3 linked regions of the Arabidopsis thaliana genome follow. The protein of the gene in region 3 interacts with the protein of the main gene of each other region in a pairwise test. Each region holds a gene or a part of one and is shown on either strand. Other genes may lie near its edges.

Region 1 (5,211 bases), on a different chromosome or scaffold from region 3:
AAGTGAATCTCTTCTTGCAGGAACTAGATACAGAGATAGTAGTGGCTACAGCTCGTGGAACAAATTCAGACACTACTGCTGTTGCTGCTAACGTAGTTATGGATGAGAGACAGATGAATGCTCTTTTCCTCGACCTGGTAAGCAGTTAGACGTAATTTCTTAAGGATTTTTTTTTGGTTTGAAAGTTGTTAAGAGGATATAGAAGTTGCATTGAGTTAAGATAAACCCCAGGATTTGAGCTTTCAGCAGTTGAAAATAAGTTCACTTTCTTATAGGTGCGTGTTAGCGAATCATATGGTCTTAAGTTCCCGAGAGAGTTTGCACTTCTGTTGAAGCAACTTCTGTACTTCGATCGATACACAAGACTATTAGCCCCAAACCTGAACATGCTGCAGGATCAGCGGATCTCTATCGCGTCCAACAAGAGGACGAATGGATACAAGGACAGCTTCAACTAAGTTTATGCAAATATACTTCACTAAACCTATTCAAACTTTTTATTTATTTACAAGTGGTAATGTTATAGTAGATTATCAAGCCAAGAACGATGATGAATTCAATCTTGTTACAAACATATCATGACTATATACAACAGATGAACTATATCTTCTTCTATTTTTTTGTATAATTTTTCACAAGTGTCATGGTTTCTACTTTAAACAAAAGTGCAGAGACAAATCTTTTACCTATACACAGAAGTGAAATAAAGAATGGCAAACAATGGCAAAACTTTCCATCTCAGATTCTCAGAAGTTCATAGTTCTCGTTGCTTCATCTGAAGCAGAGATCTATATAGAAGGAGGACGCTGTGAAACTTTAAAGACTTGGCTTACAGTAGAATATCCCATTAGTCGGTGAAGCGGAGAGCCTCTAGCCACAGGTAGCTCCTCATCCTGAACAGAGGATCTCAGCTTTTCAGGTTTGGAGGGAGCTTTGTCTATGGGAGACTCTGATGTTGAATTGCTATTCCTATTAGCATTTATGTCATGTGTTACTGCAGGAACTAAATGATTTCTGGACTGAAGTGAGAATCTGAGAACAGTGGTGCAAGTGCCGCATCTGAGAAGATGATGTTTCCTCTTGAAAATGAGAAAGTCTACAGGAAGCTGCAGGTTTTCTGAGCAACTGTAACAGCTAACAAAAGGTGCCCCACCAGCTGTTGGACGGACATGACGCTTGGCCACACGTTGTCTCTCTCTTAGACGACGGGTCTGTAACTCATGGTGGTGGCCAGCATGTCTATTACGCTGATGATCCTCCACGTCTGAGACTATCTCACGCCTCCATCTCGGATGATACTCAGGTTGTTCCATTGGTCTCTGTGGACTTGCAGAATATGAACTGTAAGAATTATGAAGCTGACCTGAATACCAACCGCCATGGTTTCTTCCCATTTCACCTGAGATCCTACTTCCTTGGCCCTGACCTCTTGCCCTTGGGTTGTTGTGATACATATAGTCAACAAAATCGTGGTTCATGCCTCCAGCGTATGAAGGCATTTGAAGTGAGTGTGCACGGGGATAGCGATCAAACTCATCATGTGACGGATGGGAAGGGCTTCCACGTGTGTATGATTCTCTCGGATAGAAAGGCATGTCAGGCCGAAGTTGTTCTGTCACATGTCTCCTCCCTTGTCTGCCAAGGCGCCCTCCTGGTCCCTCTAGCTGTAGAGACCTGTTCTGATGCCGCTCGTTGTATGTGGTAATCCCATTGCGCCTATTCTCAGAGAAAGGGGAGGAGGAACTAGCGCCTTGCTCCTTATACCCAGGGTATCTATGCATCTCAAATTTGCCTGATCTTATTTTCTGAAGAGCATTCCATTGTTCGTCATCATCGAGAAGTTGGCCTTCCCTTTCGTCAGAGGAAGACTCACTCCCATCATAAGCAGAAGAAGTCTTGTTTGCAGGATAATCAAGTTGGCTTTGCTTCTCTTCAACAGGGGAAGCATCAGGTGAGATCTCAGCATTGCCAGATGAATTACTCGCTCTTGCAGCCACCACATCATAAGCAGAAGGAGTCTTGTTTGCAAGAATGTCAAGTTGGCTTTGCTTCTCTTCTACGGGGGAAGCATCCGGTGAAATCTCAGAGTTACCGGATGGATTACTCGCTCTTGCAGCCACCACATGATCAACGCTCAAGCTTCCAGAGCTAGATCCAGATCCTGCAGCTTCTGCTACGGTGTTCATCATATGAGACTCCAATCTGGAGTTGTCTTCTCTTTCATTCTTCTCAGAATCACCAAGTGAACATTCCTGCTCTTGAATTTCATTTGTCCCATCTCCATTAGATAACTCTAAGTCATCAAGCTCCTTCTCCGTAGACTCCATGGATGCATTCCTACCTTTCTCATACTCTTGGTCCACGGAACGACCTGGAGATGACGGCAGAACCGTGTCCTGCCCCGAGCTGCTGGACACATTGTTGGTTTCAGGTACGCTTTGCGGCTCATTGGCTTGAGCCCTCTCTGTCTCTCCTGCACTTGGTGTACTGCTTGGAGCAATGTTCCGCCTTTTCGCTGAATCAAAGAAGCAACAACCAAATTTAATAATGAAAGAGATCATGCCACAAAACACAACTGGTTTGAGCTCAGACATCCAAACAGATGGACAACCAGGAGTAGAACAAAGCCAGATTCAGGGACAGAGTTCACATTATAATCAGAGGCAAAATCGAAATGGAAAGAAAGTTACCTTGAAGAATGGCGGAACAACCACCGCACTGATAAACAGGAACATCTTCGTCTTCCTGTAGAATCTTCAAGCACTTGGGACACCTCACCAACCGAATTTTCTGACCCGTCTGGCTCGCCATTGTTGGTACCAAATTTCAAAGACTTAACTCTACTTTTGTTATTTTTGGGTTATAACTCTACCTCATTAGTTAGAGAATCATCATCAACAGAACCCAGAACCCTAATAAACAGAGAGAGAGAGAGGAACCAAAGTAAAAGATTGAAACTTTGTGAAGTTCTTTAAAAGAAAATGGGAGAGGAGACCAGAGGAAGAAGGTCAACGCGGTGTGACTTTTAAGGAGGAGAAATGGTATAACCCGGGTCTGGTCTGAGAGCTGGTTACGGATCCGGGTAGAGATGAAAAATGGCGAGAAGGAAAAGATTACATGATTCAAGAAGCCATGAAAATTGTGTAAGATCCTCCACAGAAGAATCAAAGTAAAACTCTTTGCAGAGAGTTATTATAACTCGAGGGATTGTGGAAGAATAAACCCAGAAGTTGAAGATTTTATAGAGAGAGAGAGAAAGAATGAGATAGAAATAGAGAGGAGAATTTCTTGTCGTGGGGGCGAAGTAGAAGAAGAAGAAGAAGAATTGAGAGAACAGAGACAAAAAAACAAAAACAAATCGTTGGACAGACAGTTTTTTTTTTTTTTTTACTATGGTTTCTCTCTTTTCTTGTTTTTTTCCTCTGAGAAAAGTCTCTCTTTTTCCGTGTCTAAAAAGTTTTTTCTTTTTAATATCTCTTTGAGGAATTTTTTGGTATCTTTTTTCATTCTTGCAAGTCAATTAGAACATCAACGACTCGTTCTCTAATCACTATTCTTTCTTAAACAAAACCCAGTCTGTTGTTGATCTTTTCAATAAACAATATTGGCCCAATTTTTTTCTAAAGAAAGCATCTGCAACAGAGCTTTGTTAGAAGAATTAAGTAGAGGAAGATAAGAGAAAGAGTAAATTGGGTTCAGCTAAATAAAAATTTGGATAAAGAGTTATAAATGGAATGGTGTTGTTAATGTCGGCGCCTGTTTCATTTATTTTGGATAGAGAAATTTTAGCCCCACTACTACTTCCATTTTTCTCATTTATTGATCCCAGTCCTTTTTTTCTTACTTTTTACCATTACCTTCTTAAATATTTCCTAACATTCGAAGTTTGAATATTCCGGTAAATGACTAAATGTTGCCAAGGGAAATTAAATTACCGTGAATGTTGAAATGAATTGGGTTCCACATATTTATTTCTAGGACCTGACAAAAAGCATAATGATCATATGTTTTTCGTATATATATTTATATCACTGGTCGAATTTAACGAACTTTTCATTTTTCTAATGAGAATTCACTAGCCGTGTGAGTGTTTTCAATCACTTTTATTTATAACCAGACAAGTTGAGTCTTTGGTTCATAACCTTTTTAGGTATGAAACCAGTTTTCAAATATAGCACCTACAAAGAATTTGAAATTGATAGCAACGTAACAAAATATTAATCTTCAAATTGGTTCATAAAGTTTTAGGGAACTTGTGAGAAATAAATGAATAAAAGTTTTGTAGGGCTATCTCAAGTCAAATAGTATATATTAAGTATTAACGTACATGTATATCACATTATTTTTTAACGATATGAAAAAAAACTAAGGTAATGGTCGACAGACTCGGTCTTTTATCGTTTTGTGCTGTCTAGTTTCTCTACTTTCTAGATTATCGTTTTGGCTTTGTGATTCTGTAAAAGTCAACCTTTGTTGTGGTGTCCTATTTCTTTGTAGACTTAATTAGAGGTTGCTTCAATATTTGTTTTCTCTGCACAATCCAATGACTAACGGGATACGATTCACAAAACGAATCAAATCAAATCAAGTTCAATACCATTCGAGTCTTCTTCTTCACAGATTACAAATTCGATTATGCGTTGACTCTTTAATTGAGTCAATGGTTTGGACCACTACATGGTTTGTAAATGTTTATTTCTATTTCAAATCGCTAGCTGTTACCTAACATTCAGGACATGAACAAAAACTATCTTACTAAAAAAAAGTCAAAATTAAAGTTTCAAATGTATAAAAGATAATATTGGAGGTCAACTCCCATTTGACAACATTCATATATAGTTATAAATTGATTTTGTTTTTCTATTTACTGTGTTCCCATGATGTTTCGTGAACACATGAAGTTATGGTATTGAATAGAATGGATTTTCTTTTAGTTTTTGGTTTATTCTACAGAACAAGCTCTTGAAATAACTAAAAAATTCACTAACTAAAAACTTGTGATATATACCATGCTGGTTATATTCGCACAACGATTGCAATCATAATTGGCTACTATAGACGATTTAATTGATAAGAATATTCAATTATTCTACCTATGCTTTGGAGAGTCTATTTCTTTTTACTTGAAAATTTCCGATTATAAATAAAGATAGACACCTCAAAGCAAAAAACTATTCTTTTACACCTGAAATTCTTTAATACATGTCTTTA
Region 2 (3,695 bases), on a different chromosome or scaffold from region 3:
GTATTAACGTTTGATAGGTGCTACTAAGAATTAATTACACACAAAATATGGATTCTGTCAAGACCAATTTAGACAAAATGTGAAACGAGTAGATCAGACCTTATTAATAATCTCAATCATAATTCTCTCTTAAATATTTAATCAAATTAGACAAAATATAGGTCGTTTCTGACCGTCAAACGTTTAATATCTGTAGAAACCGTGTTTAAAGGTTTAGTTGGTAAGAACTCTCTGAAATGTATCCATCAAATTCTTAAAATTGATATTCTGCACCAAAACTATTACTGGCAATAATCTGTCTAAGCATATTTTGTATTTTGCGGTTAAGGACGCATTGGAATAAGACATATATTATTACTATGGTTGAGTTCATCACCAAATTCCTTCTGCAGAGAAGCTGTTATACCTTTAAGATAGCATATAAATGTTCTAATACATCAGAATAGTGTTCGAGTCAGTAGTTCCATCAATTTGTAGGGACTCTTTAGGTCTAATATGAAACACAGTTGCATGGATCTCCTCCACCGTAACAACTTTATACCAAATGCTAGATTCGTTGTTGTTGTTACATTGCTTTTAAGCCCATTCAAGAGTTTGGCTAACTCACCAGTAGGTTTAAGGTGAAAAGTTGTTGAAATATGTTAAGTGTTACGTGTTGAGTAACTCTTGACTAATTATGATCATAATACGAAATTCTTAAAGTGTTACGAATTAACGATTGGCATTGCCTTCCAAAAAACTAGCTATATCAAGTCCTCTCTCTTTGGCCCTTTTTTATTTGGTAGTGAGCTGTTATTTCTTCTTCTAGCATTAAACCATCTTGAAAGGAAACAAACCAGCAAACGTAGGTACTTTTAATGATGGTGTCAGTTAGATCATAGATGTAACTTTATATGTTACCTTCATGTTATAAGATTTCTATATTGATGTTGTTGGGTATTAGCAACTAGTATTGATGAACCCAAAAAAAAAAAAAACTAATTTTGATATTTATTATAAAAAAATAATAATTAGTAATTAATATTTGATGTTAAGAGACTATATACGTAGACCAAAGGCATGTTTCAGACAAAAAAAAAACAAGAACAATAGAGTGCTAAATTTGATCAATGTAAGCTTTTAATATCTACTACAAAATCTAAAATTACTAAAAGTCATAAATCTTCAAATTGCTATTAAATTTATTTTATAAACCAAATTTAATTATTTAAAATATGTTTATAAAACTATTCAAAGTCTACCAAATAAATATGACACAAATCTTCAAATTGCTATTAAAATTATTTTATAAACCCAATATAAAGTCATATTTATTTGGTAGACTTTTGAATGGTTTGACATATGTGATTTTAGCTCACTAATTTATTAGTATTGAACTCTCTTACATTTATTAAAACTATTTTATGTTGGCAAAAATGTTTTACTCTAGAATACACTATACATAAGACTGATTTATTCGAAGCCTTCTTTAGATAGCCTAAATTTACACAAATGTTGTTAGATGCTAAACTTTTGTATAATCTTATTAATCTGAATCAATACCGTTACAGAACCATTGGGTTGTGACGATAAAACAAACAAAATAAAACCATTGGAAATGTAAATCCGGCTCTTGGCAAAACAACGGGCAATGGCAATTTACGTAATTATCTAAACTTTCTCTGGGTACTCTCCTACTTAAGAGCTGACATCTTTCTTAGTCATGACACGTGGCAGCTTTTTTAACTGCCCCCAAAAGCATTCCCTCTGATTTGTCATCTCAGCCGTTGGATCCGAACCCGATTCTTTTCGAAACGGCAAAACCGCCTCAAATTGAAAAACAAATTAGTAATTTATTTTGCTAACCATAGTTAAGTTTCATTAACCATGGTTAAATTTGACTAACCCGACATAGAAATACCTAAATTTCGAAAATGGTCAAAGTCTTTGAACGTATTTACATTTATTGCCATTGAACAAGCTTTTGCTATAAATTCGGTTCCTGAGACTCGCTAGGTTTGCCGAACCAACCTCCCTTAGGCACTTTCTACAGAGCAGCTAATCAAAAAAAAAAAAAAAAAACCTTGTTCTTCTCTTCTTCTTCCTCTCTCACAAATTTGACTTTCATAGAAGAAAAAAATGGTGACTACATCGTCACGAACCAAGTCAAACGGACCGGTGCTTCGTTCACAATCACCGTCAGGTCGATTTTGCGGTGGTTACTCAAGAGCCGTTCCGTCATCTTCTTCATCAGCTTTCGCTTCATCAACGAGTTCTAGCTTTTCATCTCCGTCGTCAGCTTTTTTCAGCAATCACCGTCATCACGAGAGCAATCACAGTCACCACCGATCTGCGTCACCGACTCGTGTGAATCTCTACACAGCGCAACCGATGTCTCAGTCGTTTCGTTACTCTCTCGATAGCAGATCTATATCTCCGACTAACAAATCGATCTCCGTTTCGAAGAATCAGCCACCGAGCCATAATCACAAGATCTCAAGGAGATGTATGTGTTCTCCGACGACGCATCCAGGATCTTTCAGATGCAGTCTACATAAGAACGTAGCGAATCCACATGGTCAAGGTACAGCTTCGTATACAACGAATGGATTGAATATGCGTCGATCTGCGATGACTAATTCGCTGGTGAGAATTGGTGGTGTTGAAGGAGAGTGGGTGAGAAGAGCTTTGACTACTTTGATTCGACCTTCTTCGCATCATCTGAAAAGACGAGCTGCTTATCAGCCACGTCCTAGTCGACTCTCAATCATGGCGAAAGCTGATGAGAATTGATTTTGATCTGGATTTTGGTTAATTCAGGTTTGTTTTGTTTGTTGTTCTTCTCTCTTTAAACGAAAACCACCACAGGATTTAGTAGATCCGGCGAAGAAGTCTTGTTATGAAGCTGAGGTCTGCGAAGAAGAATCATCCTCGAGAAATCGAGATTTTGTAAAAGGAAGAAACACACACCTATCATAATTTTTTTGTTGTTGGGTGAAAGAAGATGCTAGAATGCATTGTACATACGTTCTCTTTTTTACTGTTTTTGTTGCTCTCTCTTGCGTCTTTGTCGAACCCCAAAAAAAAAAAAATGTTCGGAGTCTCACCAAAAATTAGAGACCTAAAATCGAAAATCAAAGAACTGAATCTAATTTCTGTATTGAACAAAGTGAGATTTCTCATTCCTCACAATCAATTGTGTATGTGTTTGTCAGATTAGCGTTTTTTTTTTCGTGTCCCGTCAAGTCAACGTTCGTGTACTCCGTTGACCGGCGTTGTTTGCCATTATCCGTCGTCGTTTCTACCGTGAAGCGTTGCGTTAGTTTTCCAGGTATGCGTTATTCGTCGTGTCAGGTATGTTCCATTCGTTTTTTTTTTTTTTCCGTTTTATGTTACTTACATTTTTTTGTAGTTATATTTTCGTGGACATTTTGAATTTTGTTTTTGTTTTGCAGGTTGCGTTTGGTGATGGAGTTTGAACTACTTGACTAACAGGGACATGAAAATTCAGATGGAATTGAGAGAAAAACAAAATAAATTAGTAGAAAAATACATTAAAAACAAAAACAAAAGAGGTGGAAAAGGTCTTCACTTTCTGGACATATATAAAAAAACAACGAAAAATCTATGGAGGGAAAAACATGACTGAAGACAAAATTTACATAGGAGGGAAATGGAAAAAAAGTGTTTTGGTAAAAGAGATAGCTGACTGACCC
Region 3 (5,914 bases):
ATTTTTCTAAGAAATATTGAAACATGAAAACTAAACGAACGGACCACGAGGCCTGTTAAGAACAGATTCTCTTTCTTGTTTGATATTGATATTGATATTGGGCCCATGAGTAAGTTATAATCTGTTGTCTTGTATTTTAGGAAGGACCCACTTCAGAAACGTGCAAAAACTAGTCCATCAGCCAAGAGAGGAATTAGCAGACAATATGAACATTTTAGTGGAAAGAAAGATGAAACCGGATAACTAACCGATAGATAGATAATCCCAATCCATAATTCACCTAGAACTCGAGGAAAGGGCAAATCAAGCCTAGAAGCTAATCATGAAGAAAGAAAGATCAGCTAGGAGAACATTGTTTAATTGAATTGTTGAGTATGGTCGAATGACCTACATATATTGTTGCTGACATGAAAGAAACCTACAAACCAAAACCGGTTTAAATAAACGATTTAGTTAAACCAGAGATAATAAGGAATTAGGAGGAGTAAACCATGTTATCGATGAAGCTTCTGTTACAACTTACAAAAGAGCAATAAAAGAGATAAAAAAAAAAGTCATTAAGAGCAAACTAATATCATTCCATAAAAAAATGGAAATAATACAAAGCACAAACCTTGTACCGAGAGAACCCGGTTTGTATACAGTCTATAACCCCTAAACCGGTTCTGGTCGCAATAAAAAACATACAGACATTTCCCCAAAGATATTTTAAAAAGAATACCAAAAATCAAAATCAAGATGTAAAAAACACTTTACAGTTGTGTTTAACAAATAAATAATATGAAGATGGAAACAAGAAGCAGAATCATATTTTGGTTGTGTAGTTGTTACTAGGGGGAGTTTTCATGAAGCTAATGATCTTGGAACTCTCATACCAAATCCATGCTTCACTTTCTCAATCCTGTTTCAAGTTTAACACACTAAAACTTTAGAATCTTAGGTGATCTCAAAATCTCAAAAGAATAAAAATCATTTGTGTGAATCTGCTTACGTTGGGGCTAATTTGCCAAGGCTGTGAAGTTCTTCTCCTGAATCTTGATCAAGGATTCTTCCTGATATATCAACAATGTAAGAACGGTTCTTGTCTCTAGGCAGACCACGACCCACAAGTAACTCGAAATCTCTCTTGTGAAGCTCTCTTCCATTCACAAACACGTCTGTGTTTCCTGCAGCGCAGTTATCCAGCATTGGATGGCTAAACTCTTCAATAAATGGCTGCAACAACAACAAGTAAGTCAACCATTTCTTCATCAATTTGATGACACCATTCCAATAATCAACTTGAGAGAACAATGTGAAGGTACTTACAGGTATTATACCGAGACACGGTTTGCCCATCACTCCCCAGAACCCAGCTCGGTAATCATACCTGAATCAGAGACATGTATCAGAAACTGAGTAAAGGGAAAAACAAAAACAAGAGAGAAACAGTGGATGCTGAAGTTCATGGAAGTACCAATACTTTCCAGCTTGGATTGGTCCAGCTAATTTCTCAGCACTGCTAACAAGATCTTCTGGTATAAGATGTCCATTAACCCAAACCTCTAATGACTTCATCTGGTCTTCGTTTTGATCAGTAGAGGACCTCGTTGTGATCTCTGTCGAACCGTACTCACTACCCTTTCTGTTTGAGTACCTTGAATCTTCTGAGATCTCGGTGTTAGAGTATCCATTGTAAGAAACCTCTGTCTCTGTAGCTACTGATTCTGGTTTCAGCGAGTCCTGTGTCATGAAAGACTTTTGCTTATCTGGCTTTTCATAACCTAACTGCGCCATTCCATAAGCGAGTGCAGCTCTGTTTACATTAGAATACTCAAAAAGTTCAAGGAGACTGGCATTATCAGGAGCAGCGGGTTCAGGTGCTTTTGACCCTTTACCTCGCCGACGAACAGATTTGACCTCCTTCTGTTGTTGTTCACTAGAATTGCTCGATCTTTCTTCATCATCTGAGTGTTGAGATTCAGAGCGGACGCTTTGCGTAGTAATAGTATCCTGATGATTTCTCAGTTCTTGCACTGGTTCTTCTTCATCCTTACGTGGAATATCTCTACCTGAGCTGTTGAAATCAACAGAAGAGACTTCCTCCTCTATCACTACTGTGTTTGTTGTGTTTCTATCTTCAACCTCTAGAGAGACCGGTTTTGTTTCCTCATTACCAGAAGAGAAAACGAGTTTCCTATCAACGATTGTGAAACTAATAACTTCAGAACAAGCACCGCACTGCAGCTTATGTAACCTTTCCTGAGACAAAAGCTTCTTCTTAGGCAAGTAAAGCAGCTCAAAGCAACTATGACAAGCTATAAAAGGAGCACCACCAGCAAGAGGATGACAACGTCGAACACCAGTATCCGATACAGCTTTCTTAACATACCCACGAGCAAAAGCACCGCCCATTTCAGAATCATGTTCACTCGGCCACCTTGCATAACCACCTCGAGGACCTGGAGTGCCCATCGAAGAAGGAAAACTCGAACCGTTATTAACACGTGGACTATACGGTGTCGTGAGTTTCTCGCCACGATGGTGAGACGAAACCGGGCTATACGGAGGCATATCACTGTACTGTGTAGCGAGTTTCTCTTCACGATGGTGAGACGAAACCGGGCTATACGGAGGCAGGTCACCGTACCTACCAGGAGTAGCTGGATAGTAAGAATGTGGCTCAACTATATCAGGACCAAGTTCAACATATTGACCTCCAGGATACTGACGAGCCATCTGATTAGGGTAATGACCAGGAGGATACCAGTTTGGATTAGGAACTGGAGGTGGTCTTCTTTGGTACCCATAAGGATCTTGATAAGCTTGAGGATACATTCCATGAACCGGTCCAGGGTATTGAATAGGTTCTGGATACTGATGGTAATAAGAAGGACCAGGATTATGATTAGCATGACCATGAAGATGAACTGGTCTAAGGAAAGGCTGATTCTGATCTGGTTCTTTAGGTTTATCAACTACATTATTACCACCACCACCACCGCGAAGTAGATGATCTTTGATAGAATCTAACCTTCTTAAAAGCTCAGCTCGTTCATGCTCTGTATACTCAATAGGGTTGTTGCTGCTGCTTGTGTTCTTAGATGAAGAATCTGATCCGTAATTAGGCTCGTCATTTCTCAAGCTTTTTCCAGATCTTTGAGACCCAGCTCGCGAATTTGAGTGTTTCTCCTTCAGACTCGTTTCTTCTTCGCTTCTTGAAGAACCAGCATCTGATCTCGTACCTTCTGCTTCAGAGACATCGCCTCGCGACCTCATCAGCCACTATTTCTAGGGTTTTGCTTTGTTTTTTTCCAACTGCGATTCAAATCAAAAAAGTTTCGATTTTTTATCAAATTCGAACTCAAAAACATATATCTCCGATTGAATTCAGATAAAACGAAGAACCAACAGGTAGAAATCAAACGAACCGTGAAGAATGTCGTCGGCGATATAGGTGAGAAGACGAATTTGATGATCTTCTCCGGTGGGAATAAATGAACCAATCTCTATGATGCAACCAATTTTCTAAAAAGGGGTTTTTGGAAAGAAAATTCAGAAGAATTAAAAGTCTTCTTCAATTGCTTCTTGGGGGATTAAATGTCTGCTTACTTACTACCAAACTTGAGCTGGAAGGTTTAAGCAACAATTAACATTATTATGTTAATTTTCTTCTAGCGTTTTTCCTTGGCTTTCCCGGGAATCTTAAGGGAAAGACAAAAGAAAATTTGATGAATAGATTTGAAAACTTAAGGAGGGGAAGAAGATGGAAGCAAAAAATCAAACTTTGTTAGCGTTGATTTGATATTCGTTTTTTAAAACTTTTGAGTAAAGAAGAGATGAGCGCGTATGTAATGTAAGTAAGCGCGTGAAACTAGAATTTAGACTGTAGTACGGTTGAGCGGACCGGGTCTCGTTGACTCGCAGATAAGGAGACTAACCAAATTATTACTAAAATATACGAAATCTAGAAACATGAGTGTGACTGTTTACCGACAGGTAAATTAATACGTTCTCAGATATCGCAATTTTCCAAATTTGTGAACTTAATTACTAAGAACAATTCAATTACTCGGGAAAAAAACATTCAAATTTAGAACTTACGATTACTAGTAGTATTTGATTTTTCAATATATGCCAATAAGCAGCAATAGTTATTTTCTAAAACTAAGACGACTTCCTATTTTCGTACTTTTGTGAGTGTGTTTGTACGAAAACAGACCAGCTAGTCAAATGAAATTATACATTGAGCAACCTTTTTTATATCAATAATACTAGGTCTGGTCATTCGGGTATCCCTATCTGTTTGGTTCTTTTTTGGATATCAAATCTATTCGGATATGAAGAGGTTGAGAACCATTCAGATATTCTAAAAACTTGGTTCGATTTTGGTTCGGATTCGGATCGGTTCGGTTGTTTTAGTAAAAATATAAAAATAACCAAAAATATCAATAATATTTTCAGATATTATTATAATAACCAAAAATACCCAAATATTATTATAATACAATTAAAAAGTAAATAAAAATAGGAAAATATCACTTTATATGCTCAGAAGACTGAAAAATTAGGTGTAGGAATTGTGGACTATTTCAACAGTAAAAGAACTAATGAAGTTACTTTATTATTCTTCTGTATTTTTCTTTTTTTTAATTAAAGTCTCATATATTGTTTTGTTACTAAATATTTTCATTGTTATCATCAGGTTAACCTCGTTAACAATTATTAGTAAATATTATGTATAAATTATCCGTTACAGTAAACATTATTCATGTATCGAATATCTTAACGTTTTCATATAAATATTATTCTGTTATATAATATATTAGCATGTTATCATTCTATATATCATGTAGTTATAATTATTATCATGTTAATTATATAAAAAAGTCTAATTTCCTTTTATTGTGCTGAATATACATAAATAAAAAATTCTGATTTACAATTTTAAATCGATAAATATGTTTTAACAAATAATTTATAAACTTATCGCGATATCATAGTTTTTAAAACATTAAACAAATAATTATATACTTATCATCCGAATATTACAATTATTTTTATTCAATAGCATTTTTGTAATTAATTTTTTTAAAAAAAATTTTTTGGTTTATATATTATTTATCTTTCATACTTACCTAAATAACTAATATTTATATATAAATTCTTTATTTTTTCATCATCCTCCCAGCATATCGATTAATATAGTCCATAAAAATACGTCAAGTTTAATGCTTCCATGTTAGAAGACGTGCTCTCAAAACTTCTTCTTTTGTTTGTTTTCTAATTCACAACTTGAATCTAAAAGAAACCTGGATCCTAAACGTTGAAAAATATTAACCTCGTAAACGAAGACTTGAAAGATATATGGGGAGTGTTATATGATCACATAGTGTAGGTCGCCTTCTGACTATTTTTGTGGTTTATACAAAAAGCTACGTACAGCTGTAAAGTCTTCTACTCTGTGTCTCTGTCTATCATTTAAAGATGGATTTATAGATAGTCCACTTTCCAACACCAATCAGATTTGACAAAAATATTAACATTGCATTTTTGGGATAACTATCGTTGACTTTTTTACTACCTATTTTATCGGTTAGTTATTAGACTAAGGAAACACAGAGTTTAATTGACAGAACTTCTGAGCTGTTTAGGCCCGTAATTCTTTCCCTAATTGATAAAAGGGCCCTATTTGTTTAGGTGCATAACAGGCTTCATTATATGGGCTTAGAACGGCCCGATTTGTTTACATGAAGACTTTTACATTTTAATAATTTGAACTTGATCATGTAAGTGAGTATGAGTAATGAGCTGGTGAACTTTTTTTATGTGTGATCTACATAATTATCACATAGAATAATAGCCATAAGGCTTTCGGTATTTGATTCTTATCAACTGTGGTCCGACATCTACTTTTATACACACCCACTTGTTT

Evidence for each region. Proteins that work in one complex are often made in the same cells at the same time.
Region 1: the proteins of AT4G01090 (region 3) and AT5G05190 interact in a two-hybrid assay, tested with the Arabidopsis thaliana proteins (one large-scale study listed by BioGRID).
Region 2: the proteins of AT4G01090 (region 3) and AT5G11090 interact in a two-hybrid assay, tested with the Arabidopsis thaliana proteins (one large-scale study listed by BioGRID).

The regions. Positions count from the first base shown.
Region 1 is NC_003076.8:1,539,453-1,544,663, reverse strand, and holds AT5G05190 (hypothetical protein (DUF3133)), read right to left. Parts: upstream 3,447-5,211; 5' UTR 2,812-3,446; coding exon 2,691-2,811; intron 2,516-2,690; coding exon 789-2,515; 3' UTR 527-788; downstream 1-526. Other genes in the region: AT5G05200 (Protein kinase superfamily protein), read left to right, coding at 21-137, 276-458. UniProt on the Arabidopsis thaliana protein: Plays a negative role in salicylic acid (SA)-mediated resistance to powdery mildew (e.g. Golovinomyces cichoracearum). May modulate plant immunity by regulating the relocation of EDR1 by interacting with CHC2 and modulating endocytosis.
Region 2 is NC_003076.8:3,522,678-3,526,372, forward strand, and holds AT5G11090 (serine-rich protein-like protein), read left to right. Parts: upstream 1-1,999; 5' UTR 2,000-2,118; coding exon 2,119-2,772; 3' UTR 2,773-3,169; downstream 3,170-3,695.
Region 3 is NC_003075.7:469,991-475,904, forward strand, and holds AT4G01090 (hypothetical protein (DUF3133)), read right to left. Parts: upstream 3,890-5,914; 5' UTR 3,411-3,889; intron 3,298-3,410; 5' UTR 3,259-3,297; coding exon 1,457-3,258; intron 1,370-1,456; coding exon 1,309-1,369; intron 1,216-1,308; coding exon 992-1,215; intron 902-991; coding exon 844-901; 3' UTR 516-843; downstream 1-515.